Linked DNA regions of Tamandua tetradactyla. The protein of the gene in region 2 purifies or fractionates together with the protein of the main gene of each other region. This does not show direct contact. Links are inferred from orthologs where the notes say so. Each region holds a gene or a part of one and is shown on either strand. Other genes may lie near its edges. The genes, in order: SQSTM1, MAVS, PLK1 and PLAAT4.

The links.
Region 1: the proteins of MAVS (region 2) and SQSTM1 purify together in Homo sapiens (affinity purification with western blotting; 3 studies listed by BioGRID). This does not show direct contact. The link is inferred for Tamandua tetradactyla from reciprocal best matches to the Homo sapiens genes MAVS and SQSTM1.
Region 3: the proteins of MAVS (region 2) and PLK1 purify together in Homo sapiens (affinity purification with mass spectrometry; 3 studies listed by BioGRID and IntAct, counting the BioPlex papers as one, with this or other methods). This does not show direct contact. The link is inferred for Tamandua tetradactyla from reciprocal best matches to the Homo sapiens genes MAVS and PLK1.
Region 4: the proteins of MAVS (region 2) and PLAAT4 purify together in Homo sapiens (affinity purification with western blotting; 4 studies listed by BioGRID). This does not show direct contact. The link is inferred for Tamandua tetradactyla from reciprocal best matches to the Homo sapiens genes MAVS and PLAAT4.

Annotation. Positions count from the first base shown.
Region 1 is NC_135346.1:1,372,050-1,380,050, forward strand, and holds the start of SQSTM1 (sequestosome-1), read right to left. Parts: upstream 3,054-8,001; 5' UTR 3,031-3,053; coding exon 2,790-3,030; intron 1,687-2,789; coding exon 1,591-1,686; intron 1,190-1,590; coding exon 960-1,189; intron 892-959; coding exon 720-891; intron 154-719; coding exon 64-153; intron 1-63. UniProt on the Homo sapiens protein: Molecular adapter required for selective macroautophagy (aggrephagy) by acting as a bridge between polyubiquitinated proteins and autophagosomes.
Region 2 is NC_135327.1:56,981,089-56,988,970, forward strand, and holds the start of MAVS (mitochondrial antiviral-signaling protein), read right to left. Parts: upstream 3,018-7,882; 5' UTR 2,937-3,017; intron 1-2,936.
Region 3 is NC_135349.1:33,375,625-33,382,863, forward strand, and holds the start of PLK1 (serine/threonine-protein kinase PLK1), read right to left. Parts: upstream 3,029-7,239; 5' UTR 2,919-3,028; coding exon 2,511-2,918; intron 1,824-2,510; coding exon 1,655-1,823; intron 941-1,654; coding exon 796-940; intron 1-795. UniProt on the Homo sapiens protein: Serine/threonine-protein kinase that performs several important functions throughout M phase of the cell cycle, including the regulation of centrosome maturation and spindle assembly, the removal of cohesins from chromosome arms, the inactivation of anaphase-promoting complex/cyclosome (APC/C) inhibitors, and the regulation of mitotic exit and cytokinesis.
Region 4 is NC_135335.1:11,186,608-11,194,666, forward strand, and holds the start of PLAAT4 (phospholipase A and acyltransferase 4), read left to right. Parts: upstream 1-4,983; 5' UTR 4,984-5,131; coding exon 5,132-5,140; intron 5,141-8,059. UniProt on the Homo sapiens protein: Exhibits both phospholipase A1/2 and acyltransferase activities. Shows phospholipase A1 (PLA1) and A2 (PLA2), catalyzing the calcium-independent release of fatty acids from the sn-1 or sn-2 position of glycerophospholipids.

The DNA.
Region 1 (8,001 bases), on a different chromosome or scaffold from region 2:
AAAAAAACCCCACGTTTGTACGGGGTTACCAAAACTCTCAGACAGAGGAGAAAGCCCACTTACCCAACGGGCTGAGTGCAGCCGCCACGCTTTCTCCTACGTTCTTCAGGAAATGGACACTGGCATCTTCTGGTGGGCCAGCAGCTTTGACTTCTAAAAGCAGAAGTGGGAGGCATGTTTAATTCCAACCACATGTCCTGGTGACTCTGATGCCTGCTGCGGTCCTGCCTGCTCCTTCCCAAGGCCCCTGCTGTCCCAGGGGCACCTCTGACTGCAGCCTAGGCCCACAAAGCTCCCCTCCCCCTCCCCCTCCCAGGAGGCCACGTCCTGGACACCTTTCCCCCAGCACAGGCCCAGGACAAGCAGAACCAAAATAATGGCCACAGCCTATGTAGGTCATTCAGAAACCAAGCCGGTACCTTGTCAAAGACACAATGACATTACTACAACCAGGAGGAGACACTACCCTGAAAACAGGACACCAGCTACGTGTAAGCTTCTAACTCTGTGACTATGCGTTAAAGGTGAGCAAGCCTGGCTGAATCTCCTGACAGCTGGCACAAAAGAGGACAGTGGGGCAGGCTACAGGGACCCAGAGGGGTGAAGCGGGAAGGGCTCTCGGGTCTGAGCACTGCATTGCCTCAGTTTCCCCATGAGGAATGGAAATGACACTCCCACTGGGTGGGATTCCCTCCACCTGCAGGCGCCCTGGGCCTCACCTGACTCCGCCGAGGGGCCGGGGGGTGCCTCCCCATCGCGGGGCGGCCGTGGGCTCCAGTTCCCCGGTGGGCCCATCTCCCAGCCCGGCCACCCGAAGTGCCCGTGCTTCAGCTTTCGGAGCCAGCGGCTGTGCGAGAAGCCCTGCCAGAGGGCAGAAGAAGGACGGGGGGGCTGTGGGTCTGTGGCTCCCCCACCCCCATCCCCGCACCACCCCAGGCCCACCGCCAGACTCTGCTCACCTCCAGGAGGTGCCCCAGGGGGCTGGAGAAGGCGAGCTTGCCGTGCTCTGGGTGCAGGCCCTTCTCCTCGCAGCCGGCACACAGGTCGTAGTCGGGGCACACGCTGCACTTGTAGCGGGTCCCCACCACAGGCCCATTGCAGCCGTCACAAATCACGTTGGGGTGCACCAAGCTGCGGGGCGCCTCCTGAGCGCCCGGGGGCCGGTGGTCTCGCCGGCATTCCTTCTTTTCTGTGGGGAGGGGAGGCAGCCAGTGGGGTCAGGTCCTGGGAGTCTGTCCAGGACCCAGCTGCTTTGGGCGGCCGGTGAGCAGCAGCTTCTGGCTCCTCAAACAACCCCCAAGCACCCGAAGCCGCCCCGGCCTTGGTGGCACAAGCCCCCGGAGGGCGGGAGGGGCGCCGAGGCTGACCCCGTGTGCAGCGAGGCGGGGCGCGGCCAATGCCGGGCGGCGCGAGGCCTGGGCACCCGGCGGTGAGCGGGGCAGCGGAGGGGCCCCAGACCCGGCTGCGCTGCACGACGGCCTCCAGACCCCGGGCCCTGCGCGCAGCGCCAGCGCCTCCTCTGCAGCAGGAACACAGCGTCTAAGACCGCCCCTGCCCCCCTGGCCTCGGGGTCGGCAGGCAGCCCCTCACCTTTCAGGTAGATGCGGAAGGTGCCGTCACTCACGCCCGACGTCGCCATCGCCAGCTCCTCGTCGCTCGAAAAGGCCACGAGGTCGCCGTCCTCATCTGGTGTGGGGAAGAGAGGTGAGTGCCCGCGCCTCCTGCGGGGCTGAAACGGGCTGAGGCCGGTGCCAGGGGGCACGTGGGGGACCCCGTCCCGGGGAACCGCAGGGTGGGAGGCAAGACCCGCCGCCACCGTGACGGCGTCGGGAAGGGGGGGCCCCGGGCCGGCCTGCTCCGAGCCTGTGACTGGTGCGCGGTCTCCGGGTTTTATTGTCGGACCCACCCTGCGGCCCAAACCTCGCCGCGCATCCCCATCAGCTGAACCCCGCAAGGACAGGGCAGCGCCAAAACACGGAAACGTCAGAAAGACCCGAACGCGAGTGTTTCAGGGTACAGGTCTGTCCCTTAAGATAATGAAAAGGTCCTAAAATATGTGTGAGCGTGCTGAAACCACCATATTCTGCACGCTCCTGAGCGTCCTGCCCGGACAACAACTACAGCCCACGGAACAATTACAAAGGAAAAAGACACGGGACGGGCCCGGCAGCCCCGCCCTCCCTTTCGGCCCGCCCCCGGCCCCCCCAACCCCCCCCCCCCCAGCTCCCGGCCTGCAGGAGCCGGCCCTGCACTCACAGGCCCTCCCCCGCCCACCCCCCGCCCACCCCCGGCCCTGCGCTCACAGCCCCTCCCCCAGCCCACCCTCTGCCCCGCGCATGCCGGGGGACACCCGGGCGGCTTCGCACGTCTCTCCCGCCTGGCCCAGGTGGGCCCTCCTCCGCGCCGGCTCGGCCTGCGGTCTCCGGACATCAGCTGACCCCACCCCGCCCCCGGCGCTGGCAGCGGGAGGCGACAGCCGGCGGACGTCAGCGTAACCCGAGTGTCCGCCGCCCGTCCCGACCCCGCCCCGGGGGCGACCTTGCGGGATCTGCAGTGCCCGGCGGGGGAGGGGAGCCTCACGCCCCCAGGCCGGAGCGCCGCTGGGGGGCCTGGCAGCCCGCACGGACCGGGCCGGGCCTGTGCTCGAACTCCCTGCCCCCGGCGGCCACCCGAGGCCCAGCTGTGGCCGGGCACAGCCATCACCCGCCCCTGCCCGGCTTGGGAAGGGGTGGGGGGAGGGAGGGAGGAGGGAGGAGCGCCCGCCAGCCCCGGACCCCCGCCCCGCTCACCGCGGTAGTGCGCCACGAAGCCCCCAGGCCGCAGCCCCGGGAACAGGGCGGCCACCCGGCGCAGCAGGCGCTCGCAGGGCCCCGCGCCGACCAGGGCGTCGGCTCCCGGCCCGGGCCCGGACTCGGGCTCGGGCTCGGGCTCGGCCTCGGGCTCGCGGCCGAAGCAGAACCTGAAGCGGCGGATCTCGCGCGCCGCCTCCTCGCGGCCCAGCAGGTACGCCTTCACCGTGAGCGTCGCCATGGCCGCGCCGGCACTGCGCCCGGCCCGCCGCCGCCGCCGCCTTTGTAGAGCGGGAGCCCCGCTCTGCCCCGCCCCCTGGGCGGAGCCTCGTCGCCCCGCCCCGCCCCGCCGCCGCACTCGCGAGCCGCCCTGCTGGGGCCCCGGCGCGGGCCGCCCTCCGCGGACCCCGGCCCCGCGGCCTCCTCCCGACGGCCCCTCCCTCGCCGCCCGCAGGTGCAGGGGTCCCCTAAGGCGGCCCCCGCAGGGCGGGTTCCTGTGCTTATACCGCGGCAGCCTGGGCTGAGGCGCTGGTCCCGGGGGAAGGGGCGGGACCCCAGGCCCCTCCCCAGACCTGGGCCTGGTCGTGACGCAGCACTACAGCCTCGCGGCTGCCCCGGAGCAGAGTCGGGGGGCCGAGGCCCCTCGGTGGGTCCGGCCGCCGGGAGCAGGCAGCCCCCGTTCTAACGCGCTGAGGGTCCCCAGGCCCCTGGAGCAGCGGACTCCCCCGGCACTGCACAGCATCGCCCACGCCTGAGCCCTAACGGGGTGGACGGTCACGCCCGACTCAGGCCTGAGCTCCACAGCCCCCCAGTTTAGTTGAGAGGTGCTGGAAGAGCACAGGGGGGCGCCAGCCCTGCAGGATGTCAGGTGTCACCGAGTGGTCATCGCGGCCCAGATGCCCACCTGTCAGGGTTCAGTTCAGTGGGCGCCAGCCAGCTGTGGCTTTAGGTTCCTAGGTTCTTGGCCAGGGCTCGAGAAAGGATTCAAGGGCACAGCACAGCCGGGAAGCAGACAGAGTTTATTCAGTATTCTCCGTGGCGGCTCCTGTACTGGGCACACAAAAGTAGTAGCGAGAGGACGCTCTCCCAAAAGGAAAGAGATGAGAGGAGCAGGACACGGTGGGAAGGCTTGCTTTTTATTATAATTTTCAACTTTTTCTTATGAAATATATATACACAAAGCAATAAATCTCCAAGTACATTTTAACAAGTAGTTATAAAACAGAGTTTAAAGTTTTGTGTGGGTCATAGTTCCACAATTTTTCATTTTTCCTTCTAGCTGCTCCAAGACCCTGGAGGCCAACAGAAATATCGGTATATAGTGACTCAGCAATTATACTCTGAATGTCATTCAACATTTGCTAAATCCTGTCTTCTCTGTTCTAACTCCTCCTCCTCCTTTAATCCTTCTCCCAATCTTTAGGGGTATTTGGGATTCTAACTTTTTCATGTTGGAAGGGGCTGTGGATAATATGGGTTGGGGATGGAACCAGCTGATGTCTGGAGAGGCTGGGCCCTCTGGGTTTCAGGACTTCTCTGGCCTAGGAACCATCTGGAGGCTGTAAGTTTCTGGAAAGTTCCCCTAGTGCACGGAACCTTTGTAGGGTCTCAGATAGAGCCCTGGGTGTTCTTTAGGGTTGATAGGATGGTGTTGGTGTTGATAATAGCAATATCAAGGGTATGCTTTTATTGTTTTTTGTTCCTTTTGTAACTTTTATTAATTATTTTACTACCTTCCCCTTCTCCCTTCCTTGTGACACTTGGCCCTGGATGACTCGCTCAGGTGGGGTCAGTTTGCCGCAGGTGCCGTTTATTGCTTCCCTCCTTGTGGCCTGCCTGCTTTTTTGGAATTTGCTCTCTGCTGATCCCCCTGCCTCAGTTGGGAGCCAGGGGCCTGTGGGCCTTAGGGCAGGGGCGTCAGAACAGCTGGGAGACAGTAACCAAGAAACACTGTACTTGAGGGCAGCGACCTGGGGCAGCCCAGCCCAGGGCCTGTGGGGTGCCTTGGAAAGACCTGGCGGGAAGGGTATGTGGCCCTCTGGAGTGCCCAGGTGGGGGGCCTGTGGGAGGGTCAGATCTGTGGTCAGATTCGTGGTGTTTCAGAGGGGGCTTAGTGGGAGACCCAGAGACCAAGGGAGATTGGGGGGCAGGGCGCGTTGTCAGGTGCAGTGATTGCCTGTGGGAAGGCAGCAGGCACTGACCCCGGGTGGGGCTGACCCTGCCCAGGGACCTCCAAAGAGGAGCTCCCTGCCCTGCCCGGGGCAGCCCTGCAGAAAGGCGGGGGGGGGGGGGGGGGGGGGGGGGGGGGGCGGGGGGGGGGGGGGGAATGTTGGCGAGCGGGGAGGGAGCGCGTGGGTGGGGTGCCCGGTCCGGGCGCACAAGGAAAGCCGGTCTGGGGTGGGAGTCGGGACCCGGAACGAGCAGCGGGACCCCGAGGTCGCCCCCTGGCACGCTCCCGCCTTCTCATTTGGAACCGTGGTGAGGGTTCCCCCAGAAGCCCCGAGCGCGGCCCTTGGCCTCCCCTCCCCCAAGGCGGCGGGGGCGCGGGAACCCGCGCAGCACCGGAACCCCCTGGCGGGGCCCTCCCCGCCCCCGGGCTGCGTGGTCAGGTGGCCGGGCCCGTCCGGCCGGCCGTGAGTCAGCGCCGCGTGACCCGCGCCGTCAGCAGGGGATCCCCGGCCCCTCTCGGTGGCATCTCACCTGCGGCCGGGTGGGCTGCCTGCGGGCCCCAGGCAGGGTGGCACAGCTGGCAGCCAGGTCCCTCCCCGCTGCCCCCTGTGTACCCTTCGCCGGCGGCCCTTCCCCCCGGTGCCCGCTCAGCCCACCCGCCCTCCGGGACGACCTCGCGGGCGCTGACCCCGGCCCGCCTGGCGCCTCGGCGCGAACAAGCGGCCCCGCCGTGCCCCGCCTGGAGATGGGCGGCAGTGCGGTGGTTGGGGCGCCCCCCGCGCGCTGGCGCGGTCCGGGTCCGGGGCGGGCACCCTGAGCAAGCTGCGCCCGGCAGGCCTTAAAGGGGACTGAGGAGCACAGGGGCGGCCCCTCCCCACGCAGCCCACCGCCCCAGAGATGAGCCTCCCTGGGAGGGGAAGGGGTCCAAGGCGGTTTGGCCGGACCTGTCCCTGCACTGCGTGGGGCCTGCTCAGGGCCAGGGGACCCGCCTGCCAGTCCTCCCCAGGCCCTCACTCCCACGGGCCACAGCCCCTGCCCGGTGCACGTGCCCACTTCTCCCTGCACATGTCCACTCTTTGCGCATGCCCACTCCCTCGCCCGGTGACTTCTTGGTTCTTCCCCGGCCTGGACCCCCCTCCCCACGCCCTGCAAGGCAGCCTCCCCCCTTGTCTGCTCCTCAATGGGACCTTCCCTGACACCCCACCCCAGCCCAAACGCCTCAGGCCCTGGGTGTAACCCCCTTTTAGCCCCTTCCTACAGAGGCCCACAGAGCGTTCTCAGAGGACAGGGGGCAAGGGGTCAGGGAAATGCAAGATGAAGCCCAGGAGCCGCTGCTGAGGTTAGGTGAGGCCTAGGGCCGCTGGGGGGAGAAGCAGGCGCTGCGGGTGGGGTGAGGGCTGTCCCACGCATTCTGGGGTGGGGGAGAGTTTGGGGCCAGGTGGAGGGAGTAGCTGCTTGAAGAGGTGCGGCTGGGTCCGGGCTGCACCCCCGGCGGGCCAGTGTCCTCCCCCCACCTCCCACAGAGCAGTACCCTCCCCCCTCAAACCTCCCCAGTGAGCTGTCTGGCCTTGAGGCTTGACCCATCCAGATCCTCAAAGTCTGGGTGCACGACCACCAGCCCCTGGGCCCTGGCACCCCTTTGACCTCTGGGGTCCTGGAGGAGAAGCCGAGGTCCCCCAGACCTGTGTTCTGGCTGCGGCTGAGGCTAGGGCAGGAGTTCCAGGGCCTTGCACAATTCCCCTCCTTTTTAGGATGGAAATTTTCCTTGGGGGACTACCATAGAGAACAGGGTGGGGTCGGCATGGGACCCAAGCTGGGCCTGAGTCATGTAACCCCCTGGGTCCGAGGTGGACATGAGTGTCAAGCCGGCTCCTGAAGTGCCCTCCAGGGCCACCCCAAGGCAGGCCCTTAGCATCTTCTGGTTGGGGTGGGTGGTTGCCCCAGGCCCGCTCCAGGGTTCCAGATGGCAGTGAGGGCCACACAAGGTGGCCAGACCCAGGGGGTCAGCCTGAGCCTGTCCCCTCTGTCACCCTCAAACCCCCAGCGGCTTCTGTTGACAGAACTTCCCAATAATAAATGATATTAATAGTGTATGGGTATCACCCATGTAGCACCCGTTTTATGCCAAGAAACATCAAAACACTCGACAGATATTAACCACCTACTACTCCCTTGAAGTGGGACCAAGCCATGCTAGTCCTGGCCAAGGACCTGCGAGGAGGGGGCCATGCATCATTTCCAGACCAAACCACATATGTGCCGACATCGGAGCTCCCAGACTTTTCCTTCCTCCACAGGGAAGCCTGCAGCATTTGAGAGAGCAACCACCCAGGCCCCTGACCTTGGGGCTCGTCCCTGTGGACCTTATTCCTGCAAAGGAGAAGCTACGCCTACTAATAACTGTGCTTAAGAGTCACACCCAGGGAGCCTCTTGTTGCTCAGACACGGCCTCTCTTTCTAAACCAACCCGGCAGGTGAACTCACTGCCCTCCTTCCTACGTGGGACGTGACTCCCAGCGGTGTAACTTCCCTGGCAATAATGGACAGAACTCCTGGGATGAGCCAGGACCTGGGACCGTGGCATGGAGAAAGCCTTCTTGACCAATAGGAGGAAGAGAAAAATGAGACAAAGTAAAGTGTCAGTGGCTGAGAGATTTCAAACAGTCAAGAAGTTATCCTGGAGGTTATTCATAGGCATTCTAGGGACGTGCAGTTTTCATTTATGGTGGAATGGAGTGGCTTGGGGAAGTTACCTGAAACTGTTGAGCAGTGTTCCCCTAGCCTTGATTCTTGAAGAGGATCATCTAAAGATACAACTTTTACAATGTGACTGTGGTCTTGGGAAATTCATTTTTCTTGAATCGATTTCATTCCATTCATTTATTCAAGAAAAATCCATTTTTATTGAAAACCCCTTTTCCTGAATCTTGAAGATGATTGTATAACTATAGAGCTTTTACAGTGTGACCATGTAATTGTGAAAGCCTTATGGCCGACACTACCTTTATCCACGGTATAGGCAGATGAGTAAGAAAATAAGAAT
Region 2 (7,882 bases):
GTCAAGTCAGGAGGCCACAGCAGTAGATGGACGATAGGTGTTCTAGTTTGCTAGCTCCCAGAATGCAATACACCAAAATGGAAGTCTTTAAAAAGGGGAATTTAATAAGTTGCTAGTTTACAATTCTAAGGCCACAGAAATGACAAATTAAAGTAAGTCTATAGAAATGCCAGATGTAAGGCATCCAGGGAAAGACACCTTGGTTCAAGAGGACCATGATGTTTCAGGGTTTCTCTCAACTGGAAAAGCACATGGAGAACACAGCAATGTCTGCTAGCTTTCTCTCCAGGCTTCTTGTTTCATGAAGCTCTCCCAGGGGCATATATCTTCTTCATCTCCAAAGGTCTCTGGTTGCATGGGCTCTGGCACTCATCATTCTCATGACCCTGCTCTGTTGCTCTCCTGTCATTATCAAGCTTTTTCCAAAATGCTTCCTTTTTTAAAGGATTCCAGTAAACTAATCAAAACCCACCTGGAATGGGTGAGGCCACATCTCCCTCTAATGAAAGGTTAATACCCACAAGAGGTGAGTCACATCTCCTTGGAGATAACTAATCAAGTTTACAACTTAAATTATTGAATAGGGATGAAAGGAAAAGGGTGCTCCCACAAAATTGGTTTTGGATTAAATCATGGCTTTTCTAGGGCACACAAATCCTTTCAAACGAGCACATTTCACCCTCTGGACCCTAAAAAAGACATGTTCTTCCCATATACAAAATACATTCATCTCATAACAATATCAGAAAGCCTTAAAGCATTTCAGTAGCAATATAAATGCAATACAAAGTTAAAACTAGTACAAAGTCTCATCAAAGTCAGCTGCAGGTATGGTCTGTTCTAAGGTAAAACTCTCCTCTGGCTCTGGACCTGTAAAACTCAGAACAAGTTATTTGCTGCCAACATACAAAGGAAGGACAGTCATAGGATACACAGTCCCATTTCCACAGGGAGAAATTGGAAGGAACACAGAGGTCACCGGATCCAAGCAGTTTCGAAAACCTGTAGGGCAAAGTTCATTAGGTTTCAAGGTATGACAGTCATTTATCTTTAGGGCTTTAGAAAGTGGCAGTCCCACCCTTTCCAAGCGCCTACACAGTGGCTCGCCTCTCTGAGTGTTCCCACAAGACTGGATTAGGATTAAAGCATGGCTTTTCTAGGGTATACAAGTCCTTTCAAACCAGCACAATGAGTATGGCCAGGATGGTAGTCACGGTGGCAAGGGGTAGGTAGCTTCCTGATGTCTTTGGATGTTGGAGGTAAGGGAAAGAAAAGATTCGAGGATGACTCTTGGGTGCTGGGTGGGGTAATTGACCAAGGTAGAGAAGCCAGGGGAGAGGCAGCAGCACCGAGGGAACTTCGCAGCTCAGTTTTGAGCAAGTGTAGCATGAGATGTTATTGGATATCAGGAAGGGAAAGGGGTAGAGGGGAGGGCCAGTTTGGAGTAAAAACATGGGTGTCAGGCTTGGGTAAGACCTCCTGGAGACAGTGTTGCTGCACAGAGGACGTAAAAGCTGCTGAGGCAGTCAGCCCCTTGCCACATGAGAAATGGGGTAGTGGTCCTGTCTATATGTCCACAGCCTCACATTAGAAGACCTGCTTTGATAATCACCGTGTACTACATACGTTCTGATAGGGTGAGTGCTAGTGACAGGTCAAGGAAGCTCAGGGAGGTGGGGTACTGAGTAGGGCCTTCAGGAGACAAGCAAACTCTGTGGTGGGTAATGGACCCCTCTCTCCTTCCCTCCCTATGGCACCAGGTACCAGGAAGGAGTCAGATGAGGCTCTTCTGCTGCATCTCAACCTCATCTTTAAGGGCAAGTGGGGGAGAGCAATGTAACCCAAAAAGAAATGTTTATGTATCTTTATTGAGGGACTACTATAGAAAGGCACCTCCTAAGGTTCTTCCATTAACTCTCCCTGTGGTTCCAAGAGAGAGGAAGTGATGTCAGGTCCCACAGCGAGCCAGTGGAGGAGAATTTGAACTCGGATCTTGATGTTTCACAGCAGTACACCATATGCCTTGTTGGCACAGTGAGATCCACATGGCCCCCTGTATTCAAGCCCAGGAAGGGTCTGAGGCCACTTTGGTGGGGCAGGGAAGTCATTGGGTAGGTGTGCGCCTGGGAGGATACTCCACTCATTCTCTTCTCTTGAAAGTTTTTGGAAGAGGTTGAAGACATCTAAGGCAGCCACTGTTTGCAGTTCACAGACTGTCCTTCCAGATGTTTACGGGGCTTTCGCGGCATCCAAACAAAGAACGGTGTTTTTGTCTTATTCAGGGTTTTTCTGGAACCTCCTTCCCGATTCAAGAGAAAGGAAGTGGCCTTGCGTTCAGGGTGAGAAGCGGAGGGTTTTCAACCTGACCGATCCAGGGAGCATTCCAAGAAAAAAATAATCACCCACCCGGGAGGAAGGAGGCCTCAGATCCTTGGCCCGGGTCCCTGGGCCAGACCCAGGTCCGGGGAGGGAGGAGGGAGGGGAGGGTGTTTTTCCATGCAGTTATCACTGCCAGGAACTCCCGGACACAGGGGAAACTGTCAACCCTAGACCCCGAGGCGCGGCCGCCGCCTTCACGGGCTCGCGCGCTCGGGCTCGCGCTCGGCCTCGCCACGAGGTCACCCTGGGCCTGGGAACAGTAGGAGGAGTTAAGGCTGGGTGCCGCGTCGTCTTCCGGACCAAGCTCCCCTCTAGCCCGAGCCGCCGCCCCGCGCCGCCGCCCGCGGGTGAGTGCAGCACGTGGACCCCCATGATCCCCCCATGATCCCAAGCCCCATATGCCGCCGGACCCTTTCTCCCCGGAGCCGCCTTGCCCCGAAGCCCGCGCGTCCGGCGGACTACCACTCCCCCTCGGCTCCTGCCGCCGCGGCCCACCTCCACGAAAGGCCTCGGTGTCTCTGGGCCAAGAGACCGGGCGCCCTGGTCGGCGACCTTACCTCTGGAGGCCGGACCCGGCGACCTGCAGCTGCAGCCTCCAGCCGTGAAGTCTCGGGGCGGGGCTGACGGGCGCGGAGCCAGGGGCGGGGCCGCGCGCCCATTGGCGGCAGCGGGGGCGGGGCCGCGCGTCCGGCGTGGGGGCCTGTGGGACGGGGGCGGGGACTTGGCCTGCGGCGGCCGGGAGCCCGGCCGAGGGGCGCGGAGCCGCGTGCCTATTGGCCCGGAGGCGGACGGGGCCACGCGAGGGCCTGTGGGATGGGGGCTGGGACTTGGCCTGGGGTGAGAGGCGGGTTGCGTGGGGTGTCCGGGCTGGGTGCAGTTCCAGTTCCTGCTGGGGCAGTAAGTTATTTTCTTCCCTTGTACATCGCGAACAACTTCCAGGGGAAGTCTGCGGTCTCGCCAGAAGCGAGGCAGGCGGCGGGCCTCGGAGTCTCTGGGTGGTTTGGAGTTCCTAGCTCATATGCCCTGGGTGAAGCTCTCCCTCTTTCCACCGTGCTCTGAGGGGTGAGGGGCTTTAATCTCCTTGGTTCATGAGTCCCAAGTTTTGACACACAGGCGGCATTCAATAAACGGCAGCCCTGGAAAGCAGTCTGGTGGTTCCTCAGGAAGCTAAGTATAGAATTGCCATATGATCCAGTAATGCCATTACTAGGTATATATTCAGAGGACCTGAGGGCAAGAACTCAAATGGACATTTGCACACTGATGTTTATACCAGCATTATTTACAATTGCCAAGATATGGAAACAGTACAAATGTCCATCAACCGTGAGTGGTAAACCAAGCTGTGGTATATACATACGATGAAATAGTATGCAGCTGTGAGACAATAAATTTATGAAGCATGTAATAACGCAGATGAACCTTGAGGACATTATGCTGAGGGAAATTAGCCAGAAACAAAAAACAAATACTATATGGTCTCACAAATACAAACTAACATGAATGGGCAAACTTGGAGAATTGAAGTTAATAACATAGGCTATCAGGAGATTGAAATAGGGTAGAGAAGGGACATTTGGTGCTGAAGGAATACAGTTTGTGCAACAGGACTGATTGTAAAAATTCAGAAATGAATAGCACAATAGTACCTGATTGTAGTACGATAATGTTAGTAAACTGAAAGAAGCTGAATATGAGAATGATGGAGGGCTGGGGGCACATATGACACCGGAAGAAAAGATAGAACGTAAAGACTGAGAAGGTATAATTAAGGAATGCCTAGAGTGGACAATGATGGTGATTAACTATACAAATAAAAAAAAGTTTTTGGATGAGGGAAAACAAATGAACACCAATATTGCAGGCTGTTGAAAATAGAAGGTATATGGGAAAAAGTACAATCACTGCAAGCTAGGGTCTATGTCAACAGTGACATTGTAATATGCTTCCAGTGAATGTAACATAGGCCTTATGCCAAAACTAAATGTCAAGGGGAGGGTATGGGGGAGAGGTATGGATTATTTGTGGAAGAAAAGGAAATGTCTTTAGATAGATTACGGAGGTGAAGGCATGTCTATACACAGGCTGGATTGTATGATGTGTAAGTAAAACTGTTTAAAAATGAAAAAGATAAAAACTTTAAAAATAAATAAATGTTCAGGTGACACTCAGGGATCACGAAGGCCTGTGTGCGCAGTCAGGCGGTGTGCAGGCTGGGCGGGAGGCAGGGGTGGCCCAGTGGGTGGGTGTAGGGCAGAGGCCAAGCAGGTGGTGAGCCACACAGGAGGCCCCCTCCGCCAAAGGCTGTGGGGCACCCCACCCCCACCCCACCCCATGCTCTTCGCAGTCCACTGCTGGGTGGACGGCAGCAATGATTGAGCCTCCACTATTTCAGGGGCAGGTCTTAAGAGTGTAGGGCCCATGAAATACTCGCACAACAACCAGGTAGAGTAGGTTTATTCTTCCTCTTTTATAGAGAAATTAGAATATTTGGGAAAAAGTTTGGTAGTTTTTACTAAAGTTAAAATGTATGTCAACCCTGTGATTCACCAATCCACTCCTGGGTATATGTCCACCAAGAAACATGCACACCAGATAATGTTCACAGCAGTTTTTATTCATAACAGCCAAACTCAGGAAACAATCCACGTGTACACCAACAAGAGAGCAGACTGACAAATGGTAGTATATTCACATAATGGAATCATATAGACCACAATGAAAAACTGTTGATACTCAAACACGGATAACCCCACCACATGATGCACGACTGTTGAAGGCAAACTCAGATGAATATGTGCCACCTGTTACCACTCTCCTAAAGTTCAAAATCAGGCAAAACGAAAATCTACATAAATAGAAATCATTGCTAGTTATCTCTGGAGTGCTATTGTTCTGTTGGGAGCACAAAGGTGCTGTGCTTGTTTGAAGCTGTAACCCAGAAAAGGCAATGTTCTTTTAATCCATTCCTGTGGGTGCAGACCTATTGTGGGTGAGACCTTCTGGCTAGCTTATTTTAATTGAGTTGTGACCCAGTTCATTCAAGGTAGATCTTTTTTTTAGATTCACCCTTTATTCCTTAAATCTGCAAAATAAACTGTCTGCAAAGATGGTAAAATATACCAGAAATGTGTAAATTCAAATAGTTCTAATAAGTCTTTTGTTGAATTTTCCTGAGGAAATAATAGGATTTCTCTATTTAGCATTGCCATCTGTATAGGGTAAGCTCTTTAATCATAGAAAATTAAACATTAAGAAATTGTGTATGATTTTTCAGCCAAATAAACTGAAAGAACTTTCCACATACTTGTCACATTATATCTGTATTATTTAGCATAAGACTAATTTCTGGATTTCTCTGTATCAACTGCTGCATTTGTGGATTGGCCATAATTAACTGCCTCATCAGGTCAGGATTTGACAGTATGCTCTGGACAAAGGGATTTTCCATGATCTGAACCATCATTTCAGGGTTGGACATACGCTGCCACTGCATCTGGCTTTGTAGTTCAGAGAAGTTAGATGTATTCAAACCCAAGCTACTCAGACCTGCAAGCCTTCCAAGGCCACCTAAACCGAAAGGGTTACTAGGGGCAGAACCAGATGTGGAGCTACTATTAGGAGCAGATGATGTGGTAACATTGCTTCCAGTGGTGTTTGTTTGCTGAGCTGAATGAACCTGAGGCCTGTTTTGTGATTTGATGACAAGGTGAACAGTAAGTCCATCATGAATTCCATGCTGACTCAAAGTATCTTGATCTTTTAAAATTTTTCCAGCAAATATTAACACAAGTTGGTCAGTATGCGATTTGAAACACTTAGAGATTTCTTCCTTGAACTGGCTCGTTTAGGCTGCGGCCGCACTGGCGTCCATGGACCAAGGTGAGCGCAGCCCCCCCCCCCCCCCCCCCCCCCCCCCCCCCCCCCCCCCCCCCCCCCCCCCCCCCCCCGCTAGCGGCTTTGGGCGAGTCCTGCACGGCCGCGCGTGAGCTCCATCCTCTCTCCCTCTTGGCTGCGCGAGCGCGCCGCGTCCGCCCTCTCTCAAGGTAGATCTTAATCCTTTTACTGGACTCCTTTATGAGAGGATAAAGGACAGAAAAAGCTGAGAGAGCTTAGAGAAAAGCCCCAGGGGAGCCAAAAGGACCCACAGAGGAAGCCACTGGAACCAGAGCTGAAAGCAATGAAACCCGGGAGTGAAGGACCAGCAGATGCCGGCCTCGTACTATGCTATCTGACAGAGGAACCCCTGATCCCAGCAGCCTTTCCTCAGAGAAGGTATTATCCTGTTGATGCCTTAATTGGGACATGTTCATGGACTTAGTACTGTAAATTTGTAAATTAACAAATCCTTGTTGTAAAAGCCAACACAGTTCTGGTTTACTGCATTCTAGCACCTTTAGCAAACTGAAACAGGTGCCTTCTAAGGGGATGAAAATGTTTTATATCTTGATACGGGTGGTAGCTACCTGGGTTTGTGCATATGTAAAAAATGCATAAGCTGTACACTTAAGTTTGTTACATCCTCTGTACCACAATTTTTTAAAGAAAAAAAAAAAAAGAGGGGTTAAGAGATTTGGCAGAGATAACCTGCAAATGACTAAGTTCAGTCCCAGCTCCAAAGCCAGTGCTTCCAAACTCGATCACAGGAAGAGGCCCGATCGCTTTTCAGATGAGATTTTATTACTTTCCTCAGTAACTCTGGATATCTCACCACCTTTGGCAGCTGGGAAATGTTCTTAATATCAAGCCTGAACCCATCCAACTGTAAATAAAGCCATCTCTGCCTTGGTTGGTTAGCCAAGACGGGGTAAACTTTGGTTGGAAACTAAACCCCCACCCTGTAGCACACTCCAGTGGCCTCACATCTAATCCTCGCCAGAAAAGCACTGGAGTGTGCTACAGGCTTCCAAGAGCAGCTGCCAACCCTTCTACTGGACCTCAAGGGATATTAAAAAACCCAGCCTACTGTGGTCTAAGGGGTTTCGTGTCACCTGTTGGTAGCTTTTAAAAAATTTAGACAAAGGAAGGCACAACAGCATGTCTGTGGTATTCCTGCTGAAAATGTATAAAATGAAGCTAATTGTGAGGAGACATCAAACAAACCAAAAATGAGGGACATTGTAGTGCTGTGCTGTTTAATATAGTAGCCATTAGTCACATGCAGCTATTTTTATTACAATTAAATAAAATTTAAAATCAGTTCCTCAGCCCTGCTAGTCACATTTCACATACTATTTTGAGCAGATAGAGGCATTTCTATCGTCATGAAATGTACAGTTAAAAAAAAAGTTCAGCTGGACAGCACTGAGGTACAGAATAACTCTTCAAAAATGTCAAGGTCATGCAGTACAAGGAAAGCCTGGAGAACTTTTCCAGACCAAAGGAGAGTAAAAAGACATGCGACTCAATGCAACGTGGGATCCTGGGTTGGATCTTTTTTCTTTTCTTTTTCTTTTGCATGGGCAGGCACCGGGAATCGAACCCCAGCATCTGGCATGGCAGG
Region 3 (7,239 bases), on a different chromosome or scaffold from region 2:
ATGACAAAAGCACAATTCTTATGGGCCAGTGATTTCTCAACTAGAGCCCACAGTAATCTAAGGTTCTGCAGAAGAGGTAAAGAGGCTACCTGCCGTACAGACAGATTAAAGTGGATGGTCTCCCTGTTTCTATGGAAACAACTTCACGTTTATAGTTCTATGCAGAAGAGAAGACTTAAGATTTTGAAAAATAGCTCCATTGCCAGAAAGTATGAAAGTCATTGCTACTACTCATTTCTAATTCTCCAGTACCCAGACCAGCAACGACAAACAGAGATAATACTTGAAAAGGCCCGGGTCTCTGCCTACCATGGAGTCCCCACTCCACTCTGATGGTCTTAACCTGAGAACACACCTCTTCCTGCCAGCAATAACTCCCAGTCTAATTCCTCTTGCTCAGTGCTGCTTCATAGATCAGTGTTTCTAAAACTTTAATGTGTGTGAGAATCACCCAGGGATCTTGCTAAAATCCAGATTCTGATCCAGCGGGTCTAGGGCCTGAGAGCTTGCATTTCTAGCAAATTCCCAGGTGGCACTGATGCTGCTGGTCTGCACGTGACACTCTGAGCAGCCAGGGTCTATAGCAAGGTGGTGGACATCTTTGGACAGCTACCCCACCCTCTCTCTCTGGACCCACGGCCCAGCTTGTGGGATACTCCAGAGTAACAAGGAAAGATAAGGAAATTAACTTTGTTTTTAGACTAGACTATAATCCACAGGATAAGGTTAGCCAAGTGAGATTCCAAAAGGGGCCCTGATGAGGCTGAGTGGGTCCTAAGACAGCTCCCTACTTACATGATGCACCCAATAGACCACACATCCACTTCAAAACTGTGCCCCTTCTTGCTCAGCACCTCAGGAGCTATGTAATTAGGAGTCCCACACAGGGTCTTCTTCCGTTCCCCGTCATATTCAACTTTGGTTGCCAGACCAAAGTCCCCTGGGACAGAGGGAGAAAGGGGGGAACTTGGATGCCTGTCTCTGCCATCAGTCAATGCAGACAGCTTGTTTGTGTCTATCAAGACCCAGGGTCATTTGATCCCACAGGCCTCTACTCCCTGCAACAACCAATGAGGTTTGCCCAGAAATCCTCCCACCTCACAGGGAGGTGCCTCCCAGTGCCCCATGCCCCACCCTTCCTCTTAAAAATGAGGGCTATGCGTCTAAAAGGATGCTTGGTAGGGACAAAAAATTCAAAAGCCTTTAGGGTTCAAGCCAGTAACCTCAAAGACTTAGACTAGGCAACAAGCTTGGGGACTAGGGAAGGGTGGGGACTGGCAAGCTACAGGGAGTCTAAAGCTGACAGTTGCTCTCAGCTCAGCAAAGGGCTGCCCTGAAGGAATGCTGCCCGTGTTGCTGGAGCTTCCAATTGTTTAAAAGGAGCTCCAAGGACATATTTTTATGTCAAGTTTCCCAGTTTAAAAATCAGAAACTAATTCCAAAAAAAATTTTTTAAAGACTTATAGGGGTACAAAAATGCTTCGGCAGGTAAGAAACTGGCTTGTGGGCTCTTTAAAATTTCTGGACTAAAGAGAGGATCCAAAGTCAATTATCAGCCCAGACTTCCCACTGTCCTCTTCCTCCTTCCCCCACCTCCTCCTCAATCTCCCTTCTTCCAGGGGTGTTCAGCACCCGTGGAGGCCCAGCACCTCACCTATTTTCACCTCCAGATCCTCATTTAGGAAGAGGTTGCCCAGCTTGAGGTCCCGGTGAATAACCCTGTTCCGGTGCAGGTACTGGCAGCCAAGGATGATCTGCCGCAGGTAGTAGCGGGCCTCGGGTTCAGTCAGTGCCTTCCTCCTTTTGTGCAACTCCAGCAGGGACTGGGCCAGGAAAGGAGGGGAAGAATGGGGAGGAGGCCTTGAGGTCCAGGTGCTAGGAGGGGTCGCTAAGGAAAGGCAGCCCAGGACTGGATCTGGACCCCGGGTGCATGCAGAGAAATGTGAGGAGGGGTCTTGGCAGGCTCTCCCCTTTCCGCAATCCTACCTCCATTCCTTCTCCAAGACAACTGCAAGCCCAGTCTCCTGGTAGCTCTATTCTCTGAAGCCTCTTACCCGAGACCCTTCTCCCAGCCCTACTCCGGAAGCTCAGAGTCCCCAGTAGCCCTCCGCGGGCCTTTTGCAGCTCCAAATCCTCTTTCAGACCCATCTCTTCCTGAGAAGCTCCGAAGTCGGGCCTCAGCCCCACTCTGGAAGCTCCGGGTCCACCCCAGTCCTTACCTAGGACTCCTCCCTTAGCATCTATTACCAACTCTCCCATCCCCACTTCCGATCCCTAACCCGCGCCCCTTCTCCCCACCCTGGGCAACACCTCGTGTCCAGGGGCCGCTTTCCCTAGCAGCAAAACGACTCCGGCTCTACTTAATCGGACCCCCTCCCCCAACAGCCAATACTTCCTACCCGCGATCTTTTCCTTCCCTGGCTCAAAGTTCCCACAACATCTTCCCCAGAGGCTCCGAGCGCCCTTTCCCGGCCCCCAAGCAGTTCCAACTCCCCAGCAGTAACCCTCACCCTCCGGCGGCACAGCTCCAGCACCACGAATACGAAGTCGTTATCCTCAAAAAAACCGTGGAAGCCGACGACATGCTGGTGGGCCAGGCTGCGGTGAATGGATATCTCCATGGACATTTTCTCCTTCTGGTGCGGCTTGAGCAGCAGCGACTTAGGCACGATCTTGCCCGCGAACACCTCCTTGGTGTCCGCGTCGGAAATCTCAAAGCACTTGGCGAAGCCCCCTTTGCCCAGGAAGCGGCCCCGCAGATAGCGCTGCCGGCTGCGCGGGTCCACTAGGACCTCCGGGATCTCTTTCGCCGGCGGGGCAGCCGCTGTGGCCCCGGGTGCCGCAACTCCCGGGGCCCCGGCCTTTCCAGGTTCGCCAGGAACCCGCGCCAGCTTCCCTGCAGTCCCCGCCGCACTCATGCTCCTGGAGTAGCTCAGCAGACCTAGCAGGGTAGGGGCGGACGCTCTGCTGCGACCTGCTCCTCTCCGGAATTCAAACGCGGCGCTGGGAACGTTACAAAACCCTTCGCGCCACTGATTGGCCGCGGGGATTTAAAATCCAAACCCGCCCGCCGCGCGGCACCATGGGAGTGTTCTGTATCGTAGCCGCCTTTAAACCCCCTACCCAGCACCGAAAAAAAAGAAAAACTTAATTGACGGGACGCTTGGGCAACAGACACGTGGGATGCCTGGGAAACCACACCTAGGAGACGAGTTCTAGGTTTCTTCCTTTCGCGGACCGCTAGGGGAGTTCCTGCAATTCCCATGCACCTCCTCCAGGAAGCTTTTCCTAATACCCTCCTCCACCTACCCCACCTCCCACTCCGTCTACCAAAATGTAAGCTAAAATCTAAGTAAAAACCGGATGCTCGCTAGGCAAATTCACCTCCATAACAAGTCATTTTAGCCCCCCTTCCCCAACCCCTACAAATAAACAGTCCCTCTGAATGGAAGAATGCTACTCAGAAGTATGATCCAGGGACCCGCAGCAATCATCATCAGCTGGGAGCTTGTTAGAAAGGCAACCTTTCAGGTCCCATCCCAGACCTCTTGTGTCAGAATCCCTTTCAACGAGACTGCTCAGGTGATCGCCCCACATACTGAAGTTTGAGAAGTACCATTCCAGAGTGCCCACCATGCAAGAAAGTAGTCTGATTTGCTCACTGCTATGTTTTCCAGTGCCTAAAATAGTGGACATTCCACCTGTTGTTCAGAGAGGGAAGGCTGGCTGGATGAATGACTAACAAACTGGCAGTCCATAGCCGAATTTGACCTGCAGGAGTGTTCTGTTTGGCCGCCTCACTTAAAAGAAAAAAAAGTTGAATTTACAGAATTTAAAATGAGAGCTCACATAAAAATTCACGTATGGCTTTCCCTGAAAAAATGTGAAACTCTGGCAATACCGGGCCTACTCATCTTCCCAATCAACAAGTCTCCACCTCTCCCCTTTGCCTTTTGTAGCACTTGTGTGGAACACCCATGAAATGGCAAAATGCTGGTTAGAAGTACCTTCACTGTGTTCCCTTAGAGCCCTATGATGTCCCTGACAGAACCCAGCAAGAATCAACCACATTATGATCACCTGCCTTCCAATTAAACTGGGAGGCATGCTGTCTTTTCAACCTGTGTCTCAGGCTTCTAGTGCAATACCTGATTAAAAAGGGTTACTAAAATATTTGCTGAATAGGAAGGTTTTTAAAAAGTTGTTTTTTATCCCCATGATGTATAATCTTCTACTCTTTTTCTTTTACATTTTTATTGAGATGCAGTATACTTACAGAAAAAGCATACATCATAATTGCACAGCTCAGTGAGTTCCCACAAACTGAACACACCCTGTGTAAACACCACCAAGAAGCCCCTGTGTCAGGGATCCCCAAGATCACTCCTTGGTTCGATGATTCACTAGGATACTCCCAGGAATGGGCATATGGTTGTACTCACAGCTATGATGCATTATAGTGAAAGGATATGAAGCAAAGGGAAAGGCACATGGGGCAGATTCTGGAGGAAACCAAGAAAAACCTTCCAAAAAAGTCTTCTCCCAGTGGAGTCACACAGGATGTGCTTAATTCTTCCAGAGATGTAAAATGTCCACGAGAGAAGCTAAAAGAGGCTCCATACCCAGGGTTTTCTGGAGAGTTTGTCATATAGGCACCCTCTGGCTAGCACAGAGAAAAACTCTAGATGCCCAGAAGGAAAGCAAATGCTCAGCATAAACTACATTGATTGTACAGTTTAGGCAAAGTGAGCCACCCTTATCATTTACAGTATGGTGAGAGCCTTTCTGAAACTAAGTTCCCAGATGCCAGCCAAGGGCCAGTCTTGCAAACAGCCCTAAGGAGAACAGTCTTAGGCTTCCTGTCAACTCTATTCTGCATAGTCCATCCCCTTGGCCCTTGACCAAGACTTCTTTAAGGCAGGACCCCAACACAGCAGGGTGAGACTAATCTGCAGCACCAATCTCAGTTATGCCCTTTAGGATTCCTGGAATTAGCCAGTTAAAACAAATCCCATTAACCATAAAAGCCTAGCTTAGAAAGCAGGTTATTTCCTCTGTTTCTGTGTTAAGCTTTTTTTTAACCTGCTCTGAGATATAAATTTGTGCACAGCCCACTTAGGCCAATGAATTGAAGCTGACCTGAAAGAATACCAGGGCTAAGGCAGTGTCATGATAGTTAGGGTGCAAAAAGTACAAACCCAGAGAACACACATGGTAACCCTGGAAACACAGTTTACAAATGTTAGGTACCCAAGCAGGAGAGCTACGAGTTGGGCTGTTCAGCTTCACAGGGCCCCAGTGTGGCCTTCAATTATGGGGCTTCCATCCTGGGGTTTTCAATCAAGCAAAAAATTCAATTCAGCTCTTGGTTTCAGAGGCGCGCACTGAGGCAGTCAGTTACAAGCATTTTTTGCTTGTCCACGATATGTGTTCATTCATCTCATGAGTGTGAATGACACTTGAAGGTATCTTTATGAAAGTGCAGGAACAGGGTCACTCCCTTGTCTCCCATTGAGTGCTGCCAGGTGTGACCCTAGGCTCAGCAGTTGGAATTCGAAATGCTCACAACACTTAGGCAGCACTGAGAATTTTCCTTCAGAAAGAAGGGAAAGCTTCCAGGAACAGTACTGAAAAGCAAAGATCAAAAGTGCCCTCCCCACTCCCTCATGCCTCCCAGGATGCCAGGTTTTGGGTTTTTTTCCTCTTTTGTTACAAAACCAGTGGGTTCCAGTCAACAACTCTAACTTGATATTTTTTTCAATCATCCCTTTTTCTCACCCAGGCCTTTACTTGGGGAGAGGTGTGTGCAAGAAGCACGAAAGCATTTTGGCAGAAAAATATTTTTTCAAAACTTAACCAGAAAGACACATTCAGGAATTAGTCAGGACAAAATCCTTAATTTTCAAAACTTTTAAAATGGGGTTTCATAACCTCCCACCCCTTTTGTCTTGATTATTTACCCAGTGAGCAGCCTGCAAAAGAGCGCTCCCTTTCTGAGGACAGCTGCTTTTAATAATCAATCTACCTCACTAAGGTGTGTGTAAGGGGAGAAAGGGGAGGTAAGCAGAGGGACTAACAGTTCATTGTTGCAAACTGCAAGCAATCTGGAAAGCTGAACACATCAGCAGTGAGCTATCTCCAGAGAAGGTGGAGTCTGATCTGCCAAAAGCAAGTCGAGGGGACACAGTCCCTGTGATGAGATCTCCCCCAATTCGCAGCTTTGGGCAAGAATCCCAAATCAAGAATCCAAATAGCCCCTGCATTAAGATCCAGGGCTGACAAAGTGATTTGATCAGTGAGTGGAAAAGTATTTGCAAAGCCCCCTTCGGGGAATGATGAGAACAGGGAGTTATGCAACTTCCCCAAGTTGAATTCTTGATATTCTCACAAGCAGTGTGGACAACCAAAGCTATAGGCTGAGCCCCCAGTCTTGGGGTTTGTTCATATGAAACTTAACCCCACAAAGGATAGGTCAGGTTTACTTAAAATTTAGGCCTAAGAGTCACCCCCAACCCCTTTTGTTGCTCAGATGTGGCCTCTCTCTCCAGCCAACACAACAAGCAATCTCACCACCCTCCCCGTCTACGTGGGACATGACTCCCAGGGGTGTGGACCTTCCTGGCAACGTGGGACAGAAATCTTAGAATGAGCTGAGACTTAGCATTAAGGGATTGAGAAAAACCCTAGAATGAGCTGAGATTTAGCATCAAGGGATTGAGAAAACCTTCTCAACCAAAAGGGGGAAGAGTGAAATGAGACAAAGTGTCAATGGCTGAGTGGAGAGGTTGTCCTGGAGGTTATTCTTATGCATTGAGTAGATATCATCTTGTTATTCAAGATGTAATAGAGAGGCTGGAGGAAACTGCCTGAAAATGTGGAGCTGTGTTCCAGTAGCCATGTTTCTTGAAGATGATTGAATAATGATATAGCTCTCACAATGTGACTGTGTGACTGTGAAAATCTTGTGTCTGATGCTCCTTTTATCTACCTTGTGAAGAAACGAGTAGAACATATGGAATAAAAATAAATAATAGGGGGAACAAATGTTAAAATAAATTTAGTTTGAAATGCTAGTGATAGATGGGGGTGAGGGGTGAGGGGTATGGTATGTATAATTTTTTTTCTATTACTGTTTTATTTCTTTTTCTGTTGTCTTTTTATTTCTTTTTCTGGATTGATGCAAATGTTCTAAGAAATGATGAATATGCAACTATGTGATGATACTGAGAATTACTGAAT
Region 4 (8,059 bases), on a different chromosome or scaffold from region 2:
GGGGCCGTTGTTTTAAGGGCGAGTTTGTAAGACAGTTAATATTGCTAGAGTATTAGGATTTATTCCGTTACAAAGTTTAATATAATTGGAGAGGTCAGTATTACGAAAAGGGCAGATTGCCGCCTGACAGGCGGTGTTAGCATTTTCATAAGCGAGATGCTTGATAAAATCCCTTTCGCTTTCCTGATCACCAAGAATGCACTGGGTTGCGGTCTGTAGCCGACTGAGGAAGTCAGTATACGGCTTATTGGGGCCCTGAACTATTTTCGATAAAGAGGAGGTGAGAGCCCCCTTTTTGGGGGAGTAGCCTCCATGCTTTAATGGCGGCGGACTGCACCTGGAGACCAAGTCCTCGGGGGTATTTTGCTTGGGTAGAATTAAGATGATAAGGACTTGACCCTAGAAGCTTTTTTAATGACCAGGATTTTGTGCTGTCCTTTAAGACGTTGCTTTCAGCATACTTTTTACACTGCTCCTCAGAGTCCGCTTTCCATAGCAGGAAATCGCCACCTGATAGGGTGGCTCTGGCGAGCTGTGACCAATCATTTGGAGTAAGTTCCTTTTCGCTAATATTGTCTAGCAAAGCCAGAGTAAAAGGGCAGTTGCTCCATAATCATGCATGGCTTTTTTTAGTTCTTTTAAATATTTTAGATTAATCCTTTTGTATTTATTGATTCGGGGTGCTTCCTCCCGCTCGCAGCTACGCTCACGGCTACATTTGGATTTTATTTCGTCCTCATCATTAGCTTTCTCGCTCCCTTCCCCGTCACTGCTTTCCTGTTCAGACTGAGGCTCGGAAGCTTCTGACCTTGCCTTTTGCTGGCTACGGAGGACCGGAAAAGTGTAACGGGCACAGCGGGGGTTAGAGGGCTTATTTTGGTTAGTCATTAGAGAGAGAAGAGAGCGCCTGACTGGCGGTTTGCAGGGAGTTAAGGAGGGGATTATTTTGTAACTACAGAATTACATTCTGAGTGGGGTCTGGAGAGGGGACATGCATCTTTTAAGGCATTTTCTCCCTCTCTACAAAGCTCTAGTATTTCAGGGTCTGAAGGGGAAGTTTTTATGGCCTCATTGATTAAGTTCCAATAATTGAAGGCTGTAACTGGTACCTTTTCCGGCCCGAAAGTTTTATAATAGTCCTGTAAACAATCTCCTACTCTTGACCAGCATTTTTGGTTTATGGTCCCGTCAGCAGGGAACCACGGGCAGGTTTGATAAACAAACTGAAAGAAATCTCTAAGGTCCTTTTTCTTAACTCTCGCTCCTCGCGTCTTGAGGGTTTCTTTTAATTGTCTCACGTAAAGCTCATGTGTACTAGATTCCTGTCCCATAGTGAATTTTTTAAATGAAAATGAAAGTGATTTACTGCGTGATCCTTCGCTCTTCTCTTTGTTCGTCCGTCGGTGCGAGGCAGTGTCGCCGGGGCTGCATACACAGGCGAGTTACTTCTGTGGCAGACCGGGGTTATGGGAGGGCCCTCCTCATTTTTCGGCGCGCGACGCTTCTATCTCTCAGCCAGCGGTCGAGGCCCACGTCGGCGCCAAATGTCCTGACCCGCAGGACAGTCAACGGGGTCCGCCACCTGCTGAGGGAAGAATGGCTATGGGACAGAGAGACGCAAGAAGGACAACAAGACAGGATTCTGATCAAGTTGCAAATTTTATTAACCAAGCCAGGTGTATATATACCGGCTTGGGGAGGGAGTAGGGTATGTAGAGCATTATGATAGGAGGGAGTTCGCGCCGGCGGGAAGGACTGGTTAGATAATTGGTGGGGAATTCGCGCCGGCGGGAAGGTCCCGGCGGGAACCTATTTCCGTGAAGAACCTTGTTGTACTATATAGATGCCATTGCATTAGCCGGGGTAGCCATGTTGGCTCAATCGCTATCTTAGGTTAGCCTCTGGTCCCCAACATAATCCAAGTATCAGCATGATTAAGAAGTGTATTGAAGTTCTGATAGACAAACAGTGCATCGAACGCAGCCAATCGTCAGCAGATGAATACAGTTACGTAGCGTGATGTTGCTGTCCTCCAAGTGTGGGTGTAAGAAGATCATTGCCATCACCATTTGGTGTGTTCCTGTGGGAAAAAGCAGGCCTGTGCCTCCATAATTTGGTTATTTGGCAGCCCCTGTTTTTCTGCTGTTTACAACATCACCAGTGCCACGTCATGAGCATCAAAGAAAATGCCTCTGGATAATTTTAAGCTCATGTCATTATGACATTTCTGAAAACTTTATTGAAAGAATGAGTGAAGTATTGCTGAAATGTGGAAATTTGGTTGGGTACCATGCTTTTTCTCCCCCTCATGTTTGCAGTTGATGTGTTTTATGTTTTTTTTTAATGTATCTTAAAGGACAAAATTAAAAAACCTAAATATTGTAATATGACAGATAACCTAATAATTGTATCTTCATTAAAACGACAAACATGATATTGCTGCTTGTCAAATAAAAAAAAATAAAGAAAAAAAAAGAATATATATGTGTGTGTGTTTGTGTGTGTGTGTGTAATGTGGTAGGCAAACAAGCTAGATGACATATCAGATCCTTCATTTTCTCATGAACCCCCTTGGTGGCCTCACCCAGGCTAATGGCTTTCCATGCTCTCTCCGGCCCAGACCTGACCCCTGAACTTCAGATACTGGGATATCCAGTTGTGCTGTCCACTCAACTTTCCAAACAGAATGTATGATGGATTTCTCAAACACTGCCAAAACTAAACTCCAGATCTTCTCCTGAAAAATCTGTTCCAGCTGCAATTTATTAATCTCATCTGATGGTGTTCATTCTTGACTTTTCTTTCTCTAGTTCCATCAGTCAGGAAATCCTGGTGGGGGCTTGACCTTCAAATTGGGTCAAGAACCCAATAACTTGTTACCACTGTCTTGCTTGGAAGACAGCAAATTGTTCTTTCTGCCTCTCCCTTTGACTCCACAGACTATTCACAACCAGGAACCAGATGGACTCTGTGAAAATATAAGTCTGGCCATAACTCTCCAACCCTCCAATGGCTCCCATCTAGTCCAGAGGGGACAATCAACCCCATCCATGGCCCACCCAACTCATGCAGATCAGGTCCTTGTCACCTCAAAGCTGCCATTTTCTATGACTTTCTCTCTGGCTCCAAATACACTGCCAGGTCTTGTGTAGCCCTGAGGCCTTTGCAATTACTGTTCCTTCTGCCTGGAATACTCTTCACACTTATTATGCAGGACTCACTCTCTTACCTTCTTCAGTTCCTTACTCAAAAGTCACCTACTCAGTGAGGTCTACCCCAACCATTCGTCTAAAATCATACCGCCCCATTACCCCTTGTCCCCATTCCTTTCTTATTTTTCTCCTTAGCATTTTGGCCATCTAATGTATTATCTATTTCACCATGTTGCCCAGTGGCAGCAAATTTTATCTGTGTTATTCACTGGTAGATCCCAAGTGCATATAGCAGTACTTCGCACATACAGTGAGCTCAGTAAATACTTGTCGAACGAACCCCAGATAAAGTCCCTCTGGGTTAGTCATCTTGGAGTTAGTCTGCAACAGTTAGTCCTGCTTGCTTACCTGGATAACCTCTCCCCTCATGCCTTATCCTCCCTACTTCCTTTCTTACATGCAAGCTGACATTCTGACCTCTTACTGGCCATCACAAGGAAGGAATCTAGAAATAAATGATTGTAATCAGTGAGGATTTGCAACTTCCTTCTTTCTTTTTTCTTTCTCCATGTTACAAAGAAAAAAGAAAGGTTTACAAAAAAAAAAGAAAAAGAGGTTTCTTCCTCACCTGTGTTAAAAGAAAAACTTTTAATGCAATTTAAGAACTCTCAGCCTTATGGAGTGATTCACGAGTCAAATGGCATCTCATTCAGAAAGTAGAAGGGAAGTCTCCCAGGGGGGTGGAAAGGGGAAGTTTATACAGGACAAATGTGGAAGCCAGTGAGGAAACATTCTGATAGGCTTACATTAAGTTTTCCATTTTACATAAATGGGGACTTTCAAAGTACAGAGCAGATATATATTGATTAGTATGATATGCTTAGACCTTCTGATAAGCTCTCTCTACTGGACAGAAACTGCTTTGTCATCAGATGTTGCTTATCGGCAACCCTAGTGGAGAGCCATCTCTCCTTCTGACCTCCCTTGCACAGCTTGTCCCAGGATAACGAAGCCCTGATGTTGATTGAACAGTGAGAAGCCCCTCCCACAGACTGATGTGACCCACCAGGAGTGCTGCAAACCTGTCAGGGTGGCCCTATCCCCTTTGATTGTTTGGGGTGGAAAATAGCACCCAAGACTGGCCAACAAAGAGTGGGAACAAGTCATCAGGGTGTGATGGAAAAGATTTTGCTCCCTGGTAATAAGAGTGAGAAGGGATAAAGAATCACATTCCTTTTCTGAGTTTGGACATTGTCCCTTGAAAATGTGATTTTCTTGAGGCTGCTGCAGCCATATTGGGCCATGCAGGGAGCCACTATGGACACAGGATCAGCATGATGGAAGGACGAAAGGCCTGGGCCTTGGGTGGCTGGGGTGAGCTGCTGGACCAAACCCGAGTCACCTGCCTCCTGCCTTCCTGTCACCAAAACACTGAACTTCTAGGCTGATGAAGCTGCTTTTCATTTCGTTCTGCATCTTGCAGCCAAATGCATCCTAACAGGGCCCAAGCCTCTCTAGGCTAAGGCACCTGCCACTTGCAGTCTTTTCTCATGGGTTCCAGCTCTCATCTGCTCTGCCCCCTGAGCCCTCTAGCCCAATATTTCCAATACTGACAGATGAAAATGTCGTCTGAGGGTGGGAAAGGGGGATCAGCATCTCTCTGCCGCTGAACACTGTCTTTTCCGGGATGGAAACAGCTGCCAGGATTCTTGTTGGAAGAGACCTGGGTTTTCCCAAGCAGGGGCAGGAAGGTGGGGGCTCTCTTCCCACTCTCACTGCTGTCAGGGGGCTTCCAGGCACCAGTGATTCCATATATGAATGAAGGTAATCAAGAGCCTTTGCATTTACAGCAAGTAGCTTCCTTTAAAACATTTTCTTTCTCAGAAGTGTCAGAAGGAAACTGAAAGTGAAATTCTCCACTTTGGTATAAAGCTGGCTCGTGAGCAGTAGAGAAGGAACCACCACGCACTGGCTCCAAGATGACTTCGGTAAGTTCCGACAGGACTTTCTATCAGGGACTCTTTTGGAAGCTTTCACCATAACTTGTTTAAAAGACGTTGCAAAAGTTGATATTTGTAACAACTTTTTACTTGATATTTTGAGAACACACACAGTTTTGATGGTTAATCAAATGGTATTTAAGATATTGTTTAATATTTAGAATTCTAGTAACTCTGATATCTGTATTTGTAGATTTTTTTTCCATCTTTGTTTTAATTTTAAATTGGTTTCTTGTTGCTTCCTATTGAAATGGAGCTCGAAGGATATTAAGGAATGACGAGAAAGAAAGAAAGACACAGATGGGCTCAGGGGGTTTGAAGCTTAACTTTAACAAACAACAGATAACTTTATTCTTATCCAGATCCTAGTTAAATACTGCAGGGTGACAAAAGGCATGCATGCATTTCTTGAGGGAACAGAGAGCTTATCTTTCAGTGTTCTCTTCCTTCATACTTAACATAACCATTTGGGGTAAACATTCTTTCCCTTCCAGACTGCTCTACATAACAATCTCCACAGTTTACTGCCACCACCCTGAGGCCAGCTCCTCCCAACAAATTCTACAGATCTTGTTTTAACCCTTGGCTCCTACAGTTTATGAGACATATTGTACAAGCAGGCTTTACAATGATTACTTAGATTTTTCTTTTTTTTTTTTTTTTACATGGGCAGGCACCGGAAAATGAACCCGGGTCCTCGGGCATGGCAGGCAAGCACTCTTACCTGCTGAGCCACCGTGGCCCGCCCAGATTTTTCTTTTTAATGTGCCTATGGATAAGCTAATCAAGACATCTATTTTAGGTGGTTAATAAGATTTCCATGTAAATTATAAAAATATTTGTATCTTCATATTTTTTGATATGAAGATACAAATATTTTTATAATTTACATGGAAATTGAATTGAAAATGTGATTTTCTTGAGGCTGCTGCAGCCATATTGGGCCATGCAGGGAACCACTGTGGACACAGGATCAGCATGATGGAAGGACGAAAGGCCTGGGCCTTGGGTGGCTGGGGTGAACTTCGTATTTTCCTGAAATAAGGAAAATATTTAATAGTATATGTCATTACTATAACAATACAGCCTGGTTGCCTTCATTTTAAATTGGTTCATGTGATGATTATATGGATACTTTATTTAAATATGGCTATGGTTAAGCAAACTAAGATATCCATTTTTAGTGGTTCTAAGGGTATTGTTTGTTTGCTTAAATTAAAAAAAAAATGACCTTGCAAGATAGCAAGGTCTTTGGGTCACATCTGCTTCTTCTCTGAGTCAGGCACACAGCCAGGGAGTGGGGGTGGGGTAGTAAGAGGGGGCGTTGCATGATGCGAACTGTTTGCTTGAGCCAGGGGGTCCAGCTCCAGATAGGGGCCTACGGAGGGAGCCAAACCCCGATCTGGGGAAAGTGGGCAGGTTCCCACCTTGCCTGCCTCTGTCGCTAGCTGAGATTCCATCCCTTCATAGCCTCAAATGGCTCTTTCCTCCTCCTCTCACTTGCATGTCCCTTTCTCCCTCTTTATAAATTGCATTTCACCTCTGAGCCCTGCTGAGCCCTGGCTGATGCTGCAGCCTTGAGATGAGAATAAGAACCTGGCAGAAGTCCTGGCACCACTGAGCCCCACCTCTCCTCTAAGGCTGTTTGTATCTTTGCCCCTTACATGCCAGGCCTTTTGCTGAATCCTCAGATTCAGGGTGAGAGGGACAAGCTGGCAGGATCCCATCCTGAATGGAGCACTAAGTCCCAAGGACGAGCATAGATGGTGGCAGGAAACTGTAGACCCCTCGTCATCCCAGCAAGGAGAAGTGGAGGTTCTGAAGGAGCCAGGGACCCAGCGAGGGCTGGCGAGCCAGGCTGGAGCTGCCAGGACAGCTGCCCAGGGGAGAGGTTTCCAAGAGGAGGGAGAAGAAGAGTGGTTGTGGGGACGGTGGTGGGAGGCAGAAAGAACCAGATGTGTAGAGGAGCAGAACCAAGAGAGAGCACTATGGGGGGGGAAGAAACCACCCTTTTGGGAAGGCCAGTCTGGGCACCGGGGAGACTGGAGGTGTGGGGGCCGGGACAGGAGGCAGGGAGGCCAGTGGGGTGGCCGTGGCAGTCACGGAAGTGAGGGCTGGGAACCCCTCGACCCAGTCAGTGGAAAGGAGATGGGATGAGGAAATGAGTTCCAAGAAACACCCTGAGTTGGCATTGCTGGGACTAATGACTGGACATGGGCAGGAAGGAGAGTTCAGTGGGACCCTTGGGTTCCGACTGCGCAGCCTGGCAGGTGGTTGTCACTCACTGAGAAAGGGTACAAATCAGAGGTCGGGAAGCTGGGAGGGGAAGGAGGCGAGAGGAGAGCCAGCTCAGCCTCTCCTGGCCCAGTGCCCTGGGGCAAGTCCTGTCTCCTGGGGCTTGGAGTGATGATGGCAATTATGTCGGAAAAGCACTCTGTGCCTGGAGCCCACCCCATGGCTGGAAGCTGGGAGTCCCTTGGGACGCTCACTGAGATGCTGCCAGCTCCTGTCTCTCAGGTCGGCAGCCCCACGGGCTGGGCAGGGGGAGAGTCTGAGGACAAAAAAGTGCCTCCCATGGCCGCAAACAACCGCAGGGCTGGAGGACGGGTTGAGGCTTTGAGAAACCCGAGACTCCACTAACTGATTCTGCTCGGGCCACACCTGTCCTGGGAGAAGGGGCCTGAGCGCGCAGCCCATGTGTCAATGCTCAGAGCCCCTGCGCCACCCCCATCGCCATCCATGCCTTTCTCACTCCTGAGCACACACACACACCCATGTGAATAGCATGCACTCGTCCTGGAGAAACCTCCTCTCCCACATTCCATGAGGGTCACTTTTTTCCAGGTTTCCAGCTCCTGGTGCCCTTTGCCCCAGGGAGAGTCTCTTAAGAGTGTTGGCTGGGCTGAG